Drosophila melanogaster: one gene and its partners. Changing the gene in region 1 together with any one later gene gives a genetic interaction. Each region holds a gene or a part of one and is shown on either strand. Other genes may lie near its edges. The genes, in order: emc, l(1)sc, RpS17 and E(spl)mbeta-HLH.

Evidence for each region.
Region 2: of emc (region 1) and l(1)sc, changing one enhances a phenotype caused by changing the other (phenotypic enhancement), as found in Drosophila melanogaster (one study listed by BioGRID).
Region 3: of emc (region 1) and RpS17, changing one suppresses a phenotype caused by changing the other (phenotypic suppression), as found in Drosophila melanogaster (one study listed by BioGRID).
Region 4: of emc (region 1) and E(spl)mbeta-HLH, changing one enhances a phenotype caused by changing the other (phenotypic enhancement), as found in Drosophila melanogaster (one study listed by BioGRID).

What each region holds. Positions count from the first base shown.
Region 1 is NT_037436.4:747,875-754,055, reverse strand, and holds emc (extra macrochaetae), read right to left. Parts: upstream 4,657-6,181; 5' UTR 4,393-4,656; coding exon 3,829-4,392; intron 1,785-3,828; coding exon 1,749-1,784; 3' UTR 564-1,748; downstream 1-563. UniProt on the Drosophila melanogaster protein: Participates in sensory organ patterning by antagonizing the neurogenic activity of the Achaete-scute complex (AS-C). It lacks a basic DNA-binding domain but is able to form heterodimers with other HLH proteins, thereby inhibiting DNA binding.
Region 2 is NC_004354.4:407,732-411,369, reverse strand, and holds l(1)sc (lethal of scute), read right to left. Parts: upstream 1,650-3,638; 5' UTR 1,575-1,649; coding exon 801-1,574; 3' UTR 553-800; downstream 1-552. UniProt on the Drosophila melanogaster protein: AS-C proteins are involved in the determination of the neuronal precursors in the peripheral nervous system and the central nervous system.
Region 3 is NT_037436.4:9,428,251-9,431,449, reverse strand, and holds RpS17 (ribosomal protein S17), read left to right. Parts: upstream 1-1,628; 5' UTR 1,629-1,658; intron 1,659-1,722; 5' UTR 1,723-1,752; coding exon 1,753-1,755; intron 1,756-2,124; coding exon 2,125-2,276; intron 2,277-2,335; coding exon 2,336-2,576; 3' UTR 2,577-2,655; downstream 2,656-3,199. Other genes in the region: MTF-1 (metal response element-binding transcription Factor-1), read right to left, coding at 117-928; Shc (SHC-adaptor protein), read right to left, coding at 3,016-3,199.
Region 4 is NT_033777.3:26,004,522-26,007,994, forward strand, and holds E(spl)mbeta-HLH (enhancer of split mbeta, helix-loop-helix), read right to left. Parts: upstream 1,503-3,473; 5' UTR 1,373-1,502; coding exon 785-1,372; 3' UTR 525-784; downstream 1-524.

The DNA of each region.
Region 1 (6,181 bases):
GCAATCATTAACGCTAATAGGCCGCCAGATAGCGGGAAAGAGAGGGAGACAGTGGGCGGTGGGCCGTGGGAGTGTGAGTGTGAGTGGAAGTGGGTGGGCAGGCAGCTGCGGGTAGCGCAGAAAATCCAAAACTAAATCCACACCCAAGTGGTTCGTACGTGAAATAAAAGGAAAAGCGGCCAGGCCACAGTGAAGGAAATTTTCTCAACGGAAATTTTCCGTCCGCAATTCGCACACGTGTGCAGGTCGAGTTTTCAACGGACCCTACGGCCGTTTTACCTGGGAAATGGAAAATGGGAAAACCAAACCCCTAATGACAAAGGCGGCGGCTGCGTGAGAAAACTCGCTCGCCCATGAAACTCCGAGAATAATATCATCCACCTCATTGTTCTGGTAATTCGTTGCACTTGTTTACATGTGAAAATGGCCATCCAGCTGAGTTTTCCTCCCCCGGCTACTTGTTGTCGTTGTCTGCAGGTAGTTACCGACTTTTGCGGTAAGATCTGGTAGTTTCTTAATCCCCTGCTCCCAACGGAAATCCATTGACATATTCGATTTTTAATGTTTTTTAAATTTTTGCAATTTATTAAGAGCTAGTGTTTGTTTTTCTTTATGTTTTAGATAATATATTTTTTCGCAACATCATCAAATGTTTTCTTTTGTTTTTTTTTTTTACATCATGATAGAGTGTTTTTACCATCGAAATGAGAACAAAAATGTGTAATTTCGATTGCGGATCATAATTAAAATCGCATAATTATGCTAAAAAAAACACTTTGTACAAAGTATGCTACAGATCACAGAACATATATTAATATATATTTATAGGTTTTAGTGTATATCTGGTAATAATTATTATGCATTATGCGTTATTTCGATTAAAAAAGAGGAAAACGATCCAAGGGACTCGGAAAACTACAAAATGAGGTGTTTGTGTTTTTCTATGTGAGTGGTGTGAGTGAAAATTAGTGCCTGGAAATGAACTTTCTCGAACTTAAACTCTAAACGTACTCTCTCGATATAAATTAATGAATTTGAATGTGTGTGTGCTGCTGAGTTGGTTGTTCTTGTTGTTTATTGGCTGTGGCTAATCAATAATAGGAAAACTCTTCATTGATTAAAATTAATAGGAAAATCATTTGGATTGAAATCATATAATCGTAATGCAGGAAACGGTGATTCAACGTAATTCCAGTTTGGTGCCTGTGCATTTTTATAATTTTTTTTTATTGCTGATCTCTGTTTGCTTTGCATTAGTAACATTTTTTCTTGCGTTGTTTAAACCAAAACAAAACTAAAATTAGGAAAACAAAAATATATGCTTCAGTGTAATTTCAAGCGTTAAAGGAAAATTAAATTGTTTAAAGCTTTGCCAAGTTTTCTTTCTTCCGTTCATTCTTAAGCGCCATCATCCTAGTTGTAATGTTTAATTAATAATCATAATGTGTACTTGCTTACGCTGCTCTAATGCTAGGTTTTGTGTTGTTGTATTCTTGTTATTAAATGTTTAAACTAAACTCTGTTGGAGCCAAAAGCGAGGTCTCGTTTTCCCGGGTTTTCCGTTTCCCGGGAAAAGGAGCGTTGAAGAGATGCGCCTGGGCTGTGGTTTTCTTGAGAGTTTCACACGTTATCTTATGCGGAGATCTTCACACGAAGGTTGCGAGTGGAGTTTTGACTGTACTTTCATTATGCATTTAGTTAATAGGCTTATAGGTTCCGTGGGTTTTCCCGGCTGGGCGTTTCCACGCTTACGACTGTCTGCTGTCTTTCTCCGCATTCTGTGGCTAAAAAGAGAGAAGCGGGAAGATTCAAATTAGTACATTATTAATGTGCGATTGAAATGCAATAATTAGTTTATAAGCTGTATTATTTCGCCATTCTATGTTATCAATTAGTTCCCTGTTCCACTGATTTGTTTGTTTTGTTTGTGTTTGGGACACTCGCCGAGAGGCTGATTTCGATGAGTGGAGGGGATGGGGCAATAAAGAGGCGCCAAGAAAATCAAACGCGCTGTCATTGAGCTTTTGTTTTGCACTTATTTGAGTTCTTTGGCACTGGGAAAAATGTTTTGCACTAAGAACATGTGCATTAGAAGATACAACATGTTTTAAAATAACATCTCAGGTAGCTTGCTTGCACAAGTATACCCAGTTGAAAATCAGCAAAACGTTGAAATCACGCAGTTTTTCCCCCAGTGTCTTGCGCTCTCTTCTCCTCCGTCTTCTGCTCTCTTACTGCGAGGGGGCGGTTGTGGAGGGGGGGGGGCAGGATCCGTGGGGGGAACACAATGTAGAAAGCGACCGACTGGCGACTGGCGCACAGCTGCGCGAAAAAAAAATCGAAAAAGAAACAGCAAAAACAACTGAAAACAACCCACAGAGAGAACATTTTGAACACGTGCATTTCTTTTTACAGTTTTCTGAGTGCCCCCATGTGTTCTTCTGTGTGTGTGTGTGTGCGTGTTTTCGAAAGAATTCTCGGATTGTTGTTGGCTTGTTGTTGTTGTTGCGGCGGTGACACATCATACAAACACAAAAAGTATATATGTTTGTGGGTTGCAGATGTTTTGCAACAAAAACACAAAAATTACGCACCCAAAATGAGAGAAAAGAGACCTACGCAAAGCGGACTGAGCTAAAGACCCACAGTTAATTAATCAAAAATTTAAGAAGTAACTCATAGCCAGGAATGACGAAGGCACGATTTCAAAACCATCTTTCTGAATTTCGAAGAAGGGTTTCCACCTTCACAATTAATCAACAATCAGAGATCGAAAATTAATAACACTTGCCGGGCCACCCAGTCGATCATTTGTTTGAGAAACCCATTGAAAAAAAAGCTTTTTCGAACCTGTTTTTACGAACATATTGTAGATCTCAAACGAATTTTTTCGCCAGCATCATTAATAACCGAAAGTCCAAAAACGAAGAAGTAACGAAGCTGAGAGCTAATGAAGTGAGCCAAAAAATAAACCCAAATGAAATAAAATACGAAGACTGATGATTCCCCAATTCCAAATTCCGTTTTCAAGCTCGCAAGTGCGTGTGAGTGAGTGAGTATGTGTGTGTGCGAGTGTGTGTGAAATAAATTTAAGTATCTGCAGGTGTTCATTTAAAACATCACAACAACAGAAAAAGGCCGCGAGAAAAAATTAACAGCTACGTATAGGCAACACACAAAAGAAAGAAACGATGGCGACAACAACCGCAACGCATACAATCGCACAGAGACGGTCTGTGAAATGTCTATAAAAACGAAATGAATCTGTGCGGCGAAGAAGAGGGTACGACAAAATCGGGCAGGCCGCGTTGTCTAAAGCCACCCGCCCAATAAAGAAATTTCCCAAAACTCGCCAACGAAACGAAACGCGCCTCGTCCTTCCGTTAAAAAAAAATAAAACAAAATGAAAAAAAACAACATTCACGCAAACATTCGTCAATCGCCTTATGAATGAGGTCACTCGCGAAACAAAAACAAGTAAAGCCAAACAGTTTGACACTCAATTGTCTCCTAAATTTGCAATGCAAATGCCAAACAGCTGCGGTCAAAATAATGGCACTCAAGGAAATAGCGAAAATCGGTGGATCGCAAACTTTGCGATATTCGCACTTCCTTATCGTAACTTTAGCAATTAATCGCTTTATTGTCTAGTTGAAACCAGTGAAGTCATGTACTTTAAATGTTTAACTATGTTATTTTCTCAAAAATAACTACTTTAAATATTCCATAACCTTATTATTTCTCCTAATATTTCGACCTGAGCTGTGCTCATCTGCCCACTTCCTATTTGGGTTTTTCACTACCCTAGCAATTTGTTTGTTAACTCACCGTTGCTAAACTGTTGGACAGTTGCTGCTGTGATTGCAGTTGTTGCTGCTGCAGTTGCAGTTGCTGCTGCTGCTGATGCTGCTGCGGATGGGCGGGCGCCACAAGAGTGTTGGGCGTTTGGCGATCGGTAAGCGGGAGACGGGCGGCGGGACTAGAGACTTTCGCCGGCTGCTCGGCATTCAGGCGCTGGGCGAGGATATCTGGATCGACTTCCGCTTCTGCCTCGGCATCCGCATCCTCCATGTCGCTGTCCTCGTCCTCGTGGAGTCCGTTCACCGCCGTCAGAGCGGCTGCCGCATCGAAGTTGCCCATCTCGGGGTGCGTCTCCAGCTCGGTCTGCAGGTCGCAGATGTAGTCGATGACGTGCTGGATGATCTCCAGCTTGGTGAGCTTCCTGTTCTTGGGCATGAACGGAACGAGGTCCTTCAGTTTGGACAGATACATCTTCATCTCGGCGTTCTCCCCGTCGCCGCGGTGCGTGGGATGGCGCTGGATGCGCCCGCTGGCATTCAAGGCCGGCATTCCGGAGGCACCTGTCTGGCAGACGGCCGTCAGGGACTTCATTCTGGAGATGATTGCTTTACGCTCCTTGAGTAGAATCTTGGCGGTTGTTACACGGTCGTACCGGATTACTTGCGAGGTTCAGTTAAAGATTGCTCTTGACTGGCTTTTCAATTTGATTTGATTTCGGCTTTGTGCGCTCACTTCACTTTGTTTTCTCACTCTGTCGATGTTCGAAACGAAACACTTTAATCCAGCGTGTTTTCTGCGTTTACGTTCTCGATTTCTATATCTTTTGCTGCGAGCGGTCAGACAACGAATGAGTGGTGCTCGCTCAGAGCGCCCGCTTTTATACCCCCCGAACGGGCATTTCCGAATCCGATAGGCGGAGTCTTCGCTCTCGGGTTCGTTCGGCTGGAGAGAGATATGTACTTGGTTGGAGAGTGGAGACTGGGGAATGTGTCTCATTGGTGTCCATGTGGAACTTGGACCACAACTTGAAACCGGAATTTAGGAGAGTTCCTAAGAGGTGAGTTGCGGAGAGGTCTGCTTTGGTGGACAAGAATGTGGAATTAAGGGGTAGCCCTTCGTGTTTGGTCTTCACAGTCATCATTTCAAATCCACAATGAGAATGGAGTACGAATTTAAGCCTGAGATCTTAAGAGGGGAAGATGTGTAGTGTGAAGCCCATGAATTCTGAGAAAACTAATTTAAAATAATTCAAAATACAACTGAGGTATATATGCTATGAATTAATCCTTTCGGATACTTTCAGTTCTTGACAAAATATCCAACAAGTTCTACAGCCTGTGTGCCCGAACATCCACCTCATTGACTTCTACCCGAGATACCAAATGAAACTCAACCTTACCACAATATCCAATCCACAAGATACAATCCAAATTCCACACATAGTAGACACTTTTTAAAGCACTAACATTTCCCCTGACTCCACCACGGTCCACAGATACTCACCTTTGTAGACCCGGCTTAACGAGTTCCTCTCCGAAACTCTCCAAACAAATCTGAATACTCTCCACGAGATGCAAAATGATCGGTTTTTTGTAAAGGGGAAATGGTTTTGTGATTGGTCGGCTGCTTTTCTCAGCTGAAAATGAGAAAACACGAACAGTAACTCTCGCTCAATAATTTTCCTCTCACGACTGCAATGTTTGTTTTTCTTTTTTTTTTCTCATGTTTTGTGAATGAGCATGAAAATGAATGAAAAGTGTTTTGTGGGATAAGGAGGTTCCACAATCAACACGAAAAGGCGAAAAAGACAATGCGAGTGGTTCAACAAGGGCTTGATTAATTACAGAATGAATATTAAATATATGCATGGGTAAATTAGATTTTAATCGCTGTGGAATGGTGAAAATTTTAAATCATTTGAAAATAAGAAGAGTAAATATTCATAATATATTATATTGGGCTAGTTAGTAGTAGTTTTCATTAACAATAACTATTCAAATAAACTGATAGCTCGAACAATCCTGTTAAGTTTTCGTATATAGACAAACGATTAAACGGTAGTCGTTCAATTTGTCATATTTATTCCTAACAAAGATAAGCGTTATGCGCCTCCGTTCAATGGAAAACTAGTCGTTATCAGTGGATTGACCAAATTCTTATTAACGAGTTTTCAAACGGCTAAATCGAAATGCACGGCTTATCTGCATCTTATCTTAATTTGAGTCCACGACATCTTGAACACACATAAGAGTTCGAGGCGCCTCGACTTCTCTCCCACTCCATTGCACCGAAGAAGTTGCAGGGTTTCTGGGCAAGAAATCCACGATTGTATTTCACACACATGATGGGTCGACGACGATCCATTGAGGAAATTGTGGAA
Region 2 (3,638 bases), on another chromosome or scaffold:
GTGGCGGTGTGCGCCAGCCACGTGGATTGTGCGAGTCTTCAAGTACTGATCCTTGGACTAGGACAATTTCATCCTCTCAGGCGTGACTGCCTATTTCCGGGCTATTTACGCGCCATTAACAATTCCCGGCCGAATTGTAGCTCGTTAGGGAACCAATCATGAAAATATTCGCTGTTGTTTCCTGTCAGGTGCTTAACTCTATGTTGGTTACGAATTTTGAGTGAGTCATGTCCACGCTCCAAAAGTAATTGAATATAAATAATAAATTGGGTAACTTTTTTGTGAAATTATTATTTCTATCGCTAGTACCATTATTAAGCCTGAGGCCAAAACAGCTAAGCTAAAAAATAATAATAATAATATAAAAATACATAAATTAAAAACGAATATCATAACATATATATAGTCAAAGCAATGCTTCAAAATGCAGATTGTTTAAAAACCTTTTTGGCTCTGATGCTGGTATGAGAACGAGAACTCGTTGTAATTACCCTACATGACGATCTGAATATATTTACGAGTAAGTGATTTCAGTAAAAAACATTTGGAATTAAATTTATCAATATGTTTTTATTTTGGCTTAAAAGTAGTTAGTTTAGTGTCTTCCATGCTTATAACAAACTTATAACTATGAAAAAAATATGTCTTCCATTGCGTTAAAATATAATAAAAAAAAATATGGGGTAACTTAGAGGCTAATGTGAAATTTGAGACTTGGTTTTACACTCACTAAGGCAACAATTTAGGGTATTTACAGTTTGTACAATATTTGTTTGTTTGGGACTTTTAGTAAGACCCCTTCACTGCTCTTGCCAAGATGAAATATAATCGAGTAGCTCCTCGTCATCTGGCTGCTCGTCACTGAAGCTATCAAAGGAGTCGAATTTGAGGTCCTGCTCTTGTAGTTCCTGTTTGATATAGCCACCTCCGGAAATCTCGGATCCGGAGTACGACGGCGTGGGCGAGGCGGAGTGGTACGAGTGGGATTGGGCAGACTGGGTGGCTCCCGTCAAGAACTGTTGCGAACTGTCCAAACTATCGTTGTAATCGTTATAGCTGCTGCCATCGTTGCTACTTTCATCGGCGGAATTGTAGATGTGACGAGTTGATGAAGCAGTGCCATCATCAAGCATGTCCTGTAGTCCTCGAATATATTCAACGGCGATTCGCAGTGTGTCCACCTTGGATAACTTCTTGCTGCTACCACGTCCTCCATTGGACAGCGAGTTTACCACAGTTTGAGGCAAATGCTGGCGGAGATTGACGAATCCATTGTTCACCTGCTTCACGCGATTGCGTTCACGGGCATTTCGTCTGGCTACCGATGGCAATTGCTCGCCATAGGGCATGTTATTGTAGTTGAACTTCTTCTTCTGGGAGGACAACATGGGTCCAACATTGGACTGTTGACTCTGCTGCATATTCTGCAGTTGGCTGGTACCCAAAGGTATTTTCGGAGCAATCAACTGGTGCTGCTGCGTTTGATGGTGATGCTGATGTTGCAGCAAGAAAATGTTACTGTTGGTCAGCTGGTAATGCTGCTGCTGGAATTTGCTGCTGCAAATGCTCGTCATGGTAATCCTTGCGAGAGTTTTCTAAGATTTAGTTTACAGATGTTGACTGTGTGGAATCAGATTCCGCAATGATAATTGCTGTTCTGATCTAGGGCTTTAAATACCCGGCAGTGGCAGAGGGAAACGCGCCGCGACAGAGGCAGCGACTTCGGCAGAGGAGCTACAGGGGTTGGTACGGGGTCGGATCCTGGCTACCTGCCCTCGAAAAACCGGGACCTAAGTCCTTTGCACAAGTGATCGTACATTTTTCCTCTCTTTCTAGGGGTTCTTTTTCTGTGGTGGGTGCCTCTATTCCTACTCAGTCTCTGTGTGCCTACCTACCCATCCTTTTCCCTCTCCCACACACTCTTTGTCCTTTGTGTCCGTCTACATAATGCATTTTTTCCTTTTGGGAAAATTTTAAATCTCAGATCTGCAAGATCCTTGTCATGGCTAAAAAAAAAGATTTTGAATGCACTTCCACTTTTGTCGAATGTCGTTTGCATTGAAAGCGAAAAATAAAGGAGAGTGAGATCTTGGAAGGGAATTTGATATAAAATGTGATCCATCAAATGAAAGAAAATGATGCGAAGGCAAAAGAAACAAACTTAAAAGACCATGTCGTGGGACTTTCACTGTCTTTAAAACTGCGTATCCACTTTTATATCCTGTAATGTTATGAACCTTCATTAATATTTTTTCTGACCCATCTGCATTTGACACGTGCTTCCGATCAGTCCGGTGCATTAGCATAAGCTTCAAAACAATGATACATAACATCGCAGAGCGGCGCAGACAAAATCCCACAAGTGTGTGCTGTATCATGAATACCAAGCGTACTATAATAAGTAAGGGGACGGCCAGACAAATAAAAACGAAACCATCACAAAGGCATTGAATATTGACAGCAGTTGGGATCAAAGTTGCAGTCGAAACACTCTTACCCTTTCATCAAACGCTTGTGATACAAGAAAGCGATCTAAATTTGGGCTGTGCACTCGACAAAAAATGTAATATTTCTGACTGGTTAATATATGTCTTGTATGAACAAACAAAAACTGAATTCAATTAATTTGCATAACTCATTAAATCGTATTAAGGCTACGATGCAATTTAAAATATTTTTTTGGGAAAATATTTTGATAGTGTTGCATTATTGAATAAATATTTTCTTTTAAAGATAATTATTTCGTGGAATACTTCTAAAAATCGAATGGCAGTTTTGATTTTAAAGCATGAAGCATTTGTGTTGCTTTAATATCAAGACATCACTCATAATCAGGTTTAGTTCTAAATTATCAAATTAGTATGTCGAAAAGCATTAAAAAAGGTCTTTAAATGTTATTTGACTAGCAAATTAGTATTTCAAAAAGCTTTAAAAAATGTTATGTCTTTATTTATTTGCTGCTTGCTGTAGGGTTGTGACTTATTATGCCCAGTCCAAGAAAGTAAAGTTATTCCGTTTACCAACAATCCCCCTGCAATTAAATTAAGCATTCATAAATCTGTAAGGAGCTGAATCTGAAACAAATTTCTGGATTCGCAACTTGCAACTTTGTTGCAATGGGAAGGCAATACCGTTACCGAAGACGGATAAGTCGAGTTACGAGATTGCTCCCATAAATGCATAAAATCTTAAAAAAAGCCATAAGCAGCTGCCCTAAAGGAGATCAGAAAATTAGAGGAAATTGATCCCACAAGAATGAACGCTGAAAATCATAATAAAGCAAAAAAAAAAAAAAAAAAAAAACACCATTTACCTAATAATTGGTTTTTAAAAGTTGCTACCGAATTCGTTTTCTAATGCATTTATAATATCTAGAATAAAAATCTTTGCGTCATCACCTTTGTATTTCTCTTGGTTCGAAGCAAACCCTTTTCAAATACTCTTTTAATATGCTCCAAACACACCCACCAAAAAATAGGAAAGTAAAAAAGGTTTTGGTTTCAATTTCATAAGCCTCGGACACCATGCCCTATAATGTTCAGTGATTAATTAATCCGCATGAGATCAGAATAGTGTTGATCCCAGTTTCGTTTTTGGGGGACGCAGTAAATATAAAATAGTGAACAACTGGCCAGGGT
Region 3 (3,199 bases), 8.7 Mb from region 1:
ACGGGTTGTTGTTATCATATCTATAAAACACCACGCCTAAGCAAAAAAACATTCCAAATACAAGCAAATCATAAAATACACATGCAGCGGTGGGTGTACGTGCAAGTGGGGAATACCTCGTCTCAATTGTGAAATAAGCTGGAGAATTGGATGTGGAGTCCCTAGAGATGCTGTTTCCAGTTCCCTGGTCGTTATCACAGTTGATTGGAGGATTTGCAGCCTCGTTGGGGCTGGACACCATGCTGAGCGAGACCACAGTGGGCGGCTGGACTTGGACGAGCCTCTGGTTCTCGAACTGGTATTCCAGCGTGAAGCAGATGTCATCCAGATTGAACACCTGGGCGGTGATATCGCTCAGACTGGCTATCAGCGGAACTTCAGAGTGGCTGGAGCTGAGATTCTCGGTGGTATGGTGATATGTGATGGGTATGACCGTGATGGGCAATGGTGTTAGTTGATCCGCAAGCGAAAAAGCGTTGTCCGCTGCCGCAGATACAACAACTTGTGAATGGCCATGAGTTTGAGATGCAGTGAGTTGATCCTGGGCACCGAATAGGTCGCCATATGTCGCCTGGGCGTCCCCCGTATCAAGGGTGAGGCCCAGATTAAGCACCTGTTGCTCGCCACTTGTGGATTCCGCCGTCTGGCTGCCGTAGATGCTGTAGTTGTCCCCATGGATGATGCCCAGCCCGTCGGCCTCCAATTTCGGTTCGAGCAACTGAGCTAGTGGCCTGTCGAAGTCCAGGGAACCAGAGGAGGAGCAATTGGATGTGACGGGCGGGGAGCCGGAAAGCGAATTGCGCGACGAGTTGGTATCATAATCCCGGCTGTCTGATAACGAATTTCCATGACTATTAGCGGTAGTCTTCCACTCGCTGTGGAAGTAGTGTTGTTGTTGTTGCTGGTGTTGTTTCTCTTGGTCGTTCATGTCGTATTATTTGTTATTTGCACACCCACGCACACTAAGACAAACGCTTGCTATATCGCATATGATATGCAGTTGTTATTCTCTTTCTCTGCTGCCACCGTGCAATATGTACATATATATAGATTGCTAAAGAAATTAGAGATCGCGAGATCGAAAAGCACACATCCGCGATCGAAAAGCACAAGCAACAACGATAAGAACCAGTGTGACCATGGGCGGAACGACAAAATATAACGCGGTTCTGGCTGAAATATACCATAAACTGGGATATACCGAAAATAGTGGAACGCAAAAGGGGACACCGCTTAGTGGGGACTCAAACCGCGTGTAGAGTTTTAGGCGGAGTCTCCAAGCGTGGTGTGAAATTGAAACTAAGGTGTTCTAATTTAAAGAATGAATAAATTTGCGAAACCAATATACTGCCGAATAGACTTATTTTTAAAGATTTTATATATTTTCTTATAAAAAAGAGTTTGTTTCATAACAAGTATTCTAGCCCATATTTAGGTACCATTGCACTGTACAATAGTCTCATTTAAAATGTTTAGTACAATAATGCGGTTTTTGTTAAATAATGTGTTCTAAGGTTCAAGTCCTCTCTTATTTCTATTTAATTCATCTACCTTCGAGATTTGCATAATTATGGTATATTTGCGGTATATTTTAGTATGTTTTTCACACAACCACCCTGGTCACACGGCATCCTTCTTTTTCTTTCGTTTCCGGCGAGGTATGTGCACAAATTTTGTTTCTCCACGTTTTTCTTAAAAATAATTGCTTATTTCTCATTTTAGCGGTGATTAAAATATCCATCGAGCAACATAATGGTACGTACCAACGAAAAACTGGCTGAACTCGAATCAAAAAGCGGTCAAACAAGCATAAAACGGCAACGACAGCCGCTTATCCCACGTGCATAGTGCCAATTTTGTTACCCCAAAAGCAATTATTTGTATCCGGCGTCTTGAAACCGTCCTTAATATCAATACCAAATAGCAATTCAAACGGAAACTTTAAAAGAAACCTAAACTAAAACCGAGTGAAGGCCTCTTACATTAAAAGTCCCCGAAAAATGCCGCAACTATCTCAGAAAATCAGCTGCAAATAACTATTTAGTTGTGACAGAAAACTATCGCAAAGATACAACAAAATGGATTGAACTATCGTGATACTAAACATTTTATCAACTACCACAGGGTCGCGTACGAACCAAGACGGTGAAGAAGGCCGCTAAGGTCATCATCGAGAAGTACTACACTCGCCTGACGTTGGACTTCCACACCAACAAGCGCATCTGCGAGGAGGTGGCCATCATTCCCACCAAGCCCCTGCGCAACAAGATTGCCGGGTAAGTGCCGCTCAAATCTCGTTAGTGAGTGGATCTATAATCCCCAAATTCCTTTCCAGCTATGTCACCCATTTGATGGGCCGCCTGCGTCACTCCCAGGTGCGTGGTATCTCCATCAAGTTGCAGGAGGAGGAGCGTGAGCGTCGTGACAACTACGTCCCGGCCGTCTCCGCTCTGGAGCAGGACATCATCGAGGTCGACGCCGACACCAAGGAGATGTTGAAGCTTCTGGACTTCCACAACATCCGTGGCCTGCAGCTCACCCAGCCCAACACCAACAACTTTGGTCGTCGCAACTAAGATTTGTATAGCGCGTAGATGATGATGTTCTGATTTGCATGGGATCACAATAAATTTGTGTGAAGTGCATTTAAAGTGTATGTTTTTGTGTTTCAATTAATTATGCGTATTCGATTGAAAAATATCCAAAGTGAACATCGTTTCCAAAGTGGCTCACCAGGCAGGAAACTCGATCTAAATTCAAGAACCCCAAGTCTGTGTTCCGTTTATCATCTTTATTCGCATTCGAATGGAAAATACTGTAGACATGCACATATTTGTAAATATGTTTATATTCAATCCATAAATATATGGGTTCGTTTTTACACAGACGATATATAAAAGATATTCTACGAGTGCACAATATTTAAATCTAATCGTGTACGCTGATGCCAGTATATATAATTATTTGTTATGTATATGATGGGTGGTAGCTATACGTATGATTGTTCCCTCCGGTTCAGGAAGATGCTGATGTAATGGGCGACGCAGCCTGATCCTGCTGGGGTCTTCGCACCGGATTACGCAAGACCAGCTCGGAATCCTCCGAAATGATGGGCAGCGCGTGTGCCCAGTGGTAGTTGATCAGATGGCTAATGCTGTCGAAGATGCGATCTTTGGTTCGGACCACGCCCTCGGGATCG
Region 4 (3,473 bases), on another chromosome or scaffold:
TCAAGCGCAGTTAAAGCTGTCAAAGCCTGAACAAAAAAAAACTAAAAAAGAGCAAAATCTTAAAAAAAAAGCGAAACACAATGACCACAATGCTGAGCCATTGACAGCGGAGCCGCGGTTCTCACACTCGGCGGGCCTCATAATAAATGCCGTTTCCTAGAACTGACTTTTTGCTTTATTTTATTATTTAATTGCGACAGCGCCGGCGCAAAACTTCCCGCAGATATACGTATGTATGTTGTATGCCCCCTGAAAGCCCCGCATACCCTCGCAATCCGAATTCTCGGGGCATAATGAGGCCAAGCCGGAGAGACCAGACGATAGTCCGAGTGTGGGAAAATATTCAGCGACTTCCGGCTGTGGGCTCTGCGATTCGGTTCACCACGGAGTTTATCTCCAATTCGTTTCTTGTTTTAAGGGGTTTCTTTTTTTTAGTTGCTTTAGTTTGCGGTTGGACGCCCACTAAATGTCTGGGAAGTCTGAGTAATCAGCTCTATGGGAAATAAGTAAATGCAGAGATTCTTGAGTTGGAATTTCATTTATTTTCATTTCTTTATGACTTTAAGAAGTGAGCAGCAGCCATCTCTATAGCCGAAATTTGAGGCTCTGCTAGAGATGATCGGTGGCTCTGCTGGGCTGCTGGGAAAGCTATTCCTGGGCAGCAATTGATGATCTCCAAGGAGTTCGGTGCGGTTTCAAGTCCAGCACCTCTTTGGGGCAACAAATTTGTAGAAGCCTTCCGCTTGAAGGCGATTCAGGTGAATATCATCCGGAGTCCAGTTGATCACCAGGGACGCCACATGGGGCCAGAGGTGGAGCTGGCCTCGCTGGGCGCCGGGCTGCAGGCTCCGCTCTCCAAGCTGTCGCATTCCGAGGGAGGTGGAGTGACCATAGCTTGATCCTCTACTGGAGCTTGAAGAGGCACTCCAATGGGCAGCGAGGGAACCACCACTTGCAGGTAGTTGAGACGATGGCCAAGGTGACTCATCAGCTGGGTGCCGAGATCCACACTCACTCCGGGTACAGCGGCCAAGGTTTTGGACACTTCATTGGCAGCATGAACGTAGCCAGCACGGAAACTCTCAGCGATGCTAAGCTTGGGATCGGCACTCGGAGACACTCCACCGGTGACGCTGGACAGACGCAGCTGCTTCTGGGCACGCAGCTTCTTCATGTGCTCCACGGTCAGCTCCAGGATGTCGGCCTTCTCCAGCCGGGTGATGTGCTCGCCCTCCTGGGTCAGGCACTCCACCATGATGTCCTTGAGCTCGTCCAGGCACTTGTTAATCCTGGCACGGCGCTTACGCTCCAGCATGGGCTTCATCACCTTGCGGTACTGATAGGTCTTGGACATCTCCATTTCCAGAACCATTTTGTTGTAGTTTGGTTTTGTTTTTTTTTTATTGGGGGTAAAGTAAACTCGCGTAATCCACAGTCGCAACGTTCCACTAGATTCGGACTCGGAGACTCTGTGTGCACGCAACGAAGTCGGAGCTTTGAATGAGTCGGCTGGCTCTGGGATCGGCTTTATATAGCCTCTGCCGCCCTGGGAACTGGACAGTGAGTGCGAGCGGGACACTCATTTTGCCTCGTGCGCGGCCTGCTGCTGTTGCCAGCGGTGGTTTCAGATGGCTTGGTGGTGCTTGGTTGTGGTAGTGGTGGTGGTGGCTTCTGTTTTTTTGTATACTTTTGCCTGTATATGTGAGGGCAATAAAATGACTTGAGCGGGCTGCGCCTTCTCGCTCTCTCTCCCTCCCTCCTTATGTATGTGCTGTGATTGTTATACCGTGGGAAACTGTTTCGCAGCCGATTTCCACGACGACGACGATGACGACGGCTGGCCTGACTTCTTCTGATTGTGCATGCTTGGGGTCTTGTACGATCCCTCGTCCCTCGTCTTTCCGTCCACCGTCTTTCTTGAGCGGACGGACGGATGGACGGGCCGCCTTTAAGAGGTCTGTGCGACTTGGGATCCCAGATACGATGCGAGGCGAGCACATGCCTTCCATCCATAACAAGATGTTTGCATTTCAATTCATTTGTATGGTCGACTATGGTCGGGGTCCGGTCTTTTGGGCTTCAATTCGGTGCGGTTGGGTTCGGTTCGGTTCGGTCTCAAGTCTTGCCATGTGCCTTCACCCTTTTGCAGTAGCTTATGGCACGCTGATAATTGTGGAATCGTCATCGGGCCAACCCGAGACGGGCCAGTGTTTCTGTTTCTTGCTTTTTTGTTAGCGCTTTATGGATCATTGATTGGATCGTGGTAGTCGTGGGTTTCGTGGGACGAGCATTACGCTTTTCGTTTACATGATTATTCTTGATTGTCGGTTGGGGATCGTTTGGGGATCAGCTGCAGTTCGGTTGGGGGTTTTGGGTTCGCTTGGGGATCTTGGGTCGTCGCTCGCTTCTATTTGTAGACAATTACCATAGCGACTTCGGGCTGGGAACCGATCGAAGTCGACGTGTGCGCGAAAGTCGGTTACAATCGTAATGGCTGTTGCCAGCACACGCTATAAATGTTATGGCTCGTGGGCTATACGCGATATATGTATATGTATGTATACACATTTAGCACATTCGGTATTTATTTTTAACGCTATATCGTCGTGATTCATCAGCTTGAGATGCTAGATCTCCATCCGCCGGCATCTGACACATCTCGGATCCTAAGCTCGGGTTTCTCAACATTTAATTAGAAGTGCCGGCGACGATGACGCTCGCTGGCGTTCATTGAAAATGACACGAGCCCGGCTCATTGGCACACAAATAAGGAATAACAAAAGCTCCGAGACGGCAGCTACTCGATCACTATGTGTATATAAATTCAAACTCAAATAAGACAAATTAAGATTGCCCCTCGACGCATTCGAAATGAGCTACAGTTAGCCGAAACAAAGCAGCAACGGTGATAAACGGGCCAAGACACAAACGGCTAACAACTTATCTAACCGAAACGTTTTGTCCGCTGGACCGGGACACTTAAACTGTTGATGTCAAAAAGCTGAATGCTCCGGAAATGCTTAATTGGATTTTATGGGTCGGCAGTGTGTCAAACTGTTCGTCAGAGGGTGGTGGTTGCATTTTTGGGGTGAGTTAGTCGCATGATATTTGCAACAACCAATTAAGAAGTAATTCATATTGGATTATTAAAGAAACAATACTATAAAAAATATGGAAAAAATATTTCAAAAATTTAAAGATTTTTAAAAACAATTTAGCTACAATTGTAGATAACACGTTAAATTAAGAAATATTTTGTAATAACAATATAATCCATTTATATAATCCATTCATTCAACTAGCTTAAATTAAAAGCTAAATAGTATAGGGGCTCCAATTGTAATTCGGAAGTTCCAATTTTCATGTAGTAGCTATAAATGCCTTTAAACGCCACTGAAAGACTTTTCTAGCTTAACAACTGAATCACTGTCGTAACTCGAATCATTAATACCAATTGTAGCAATTAGAGGAAA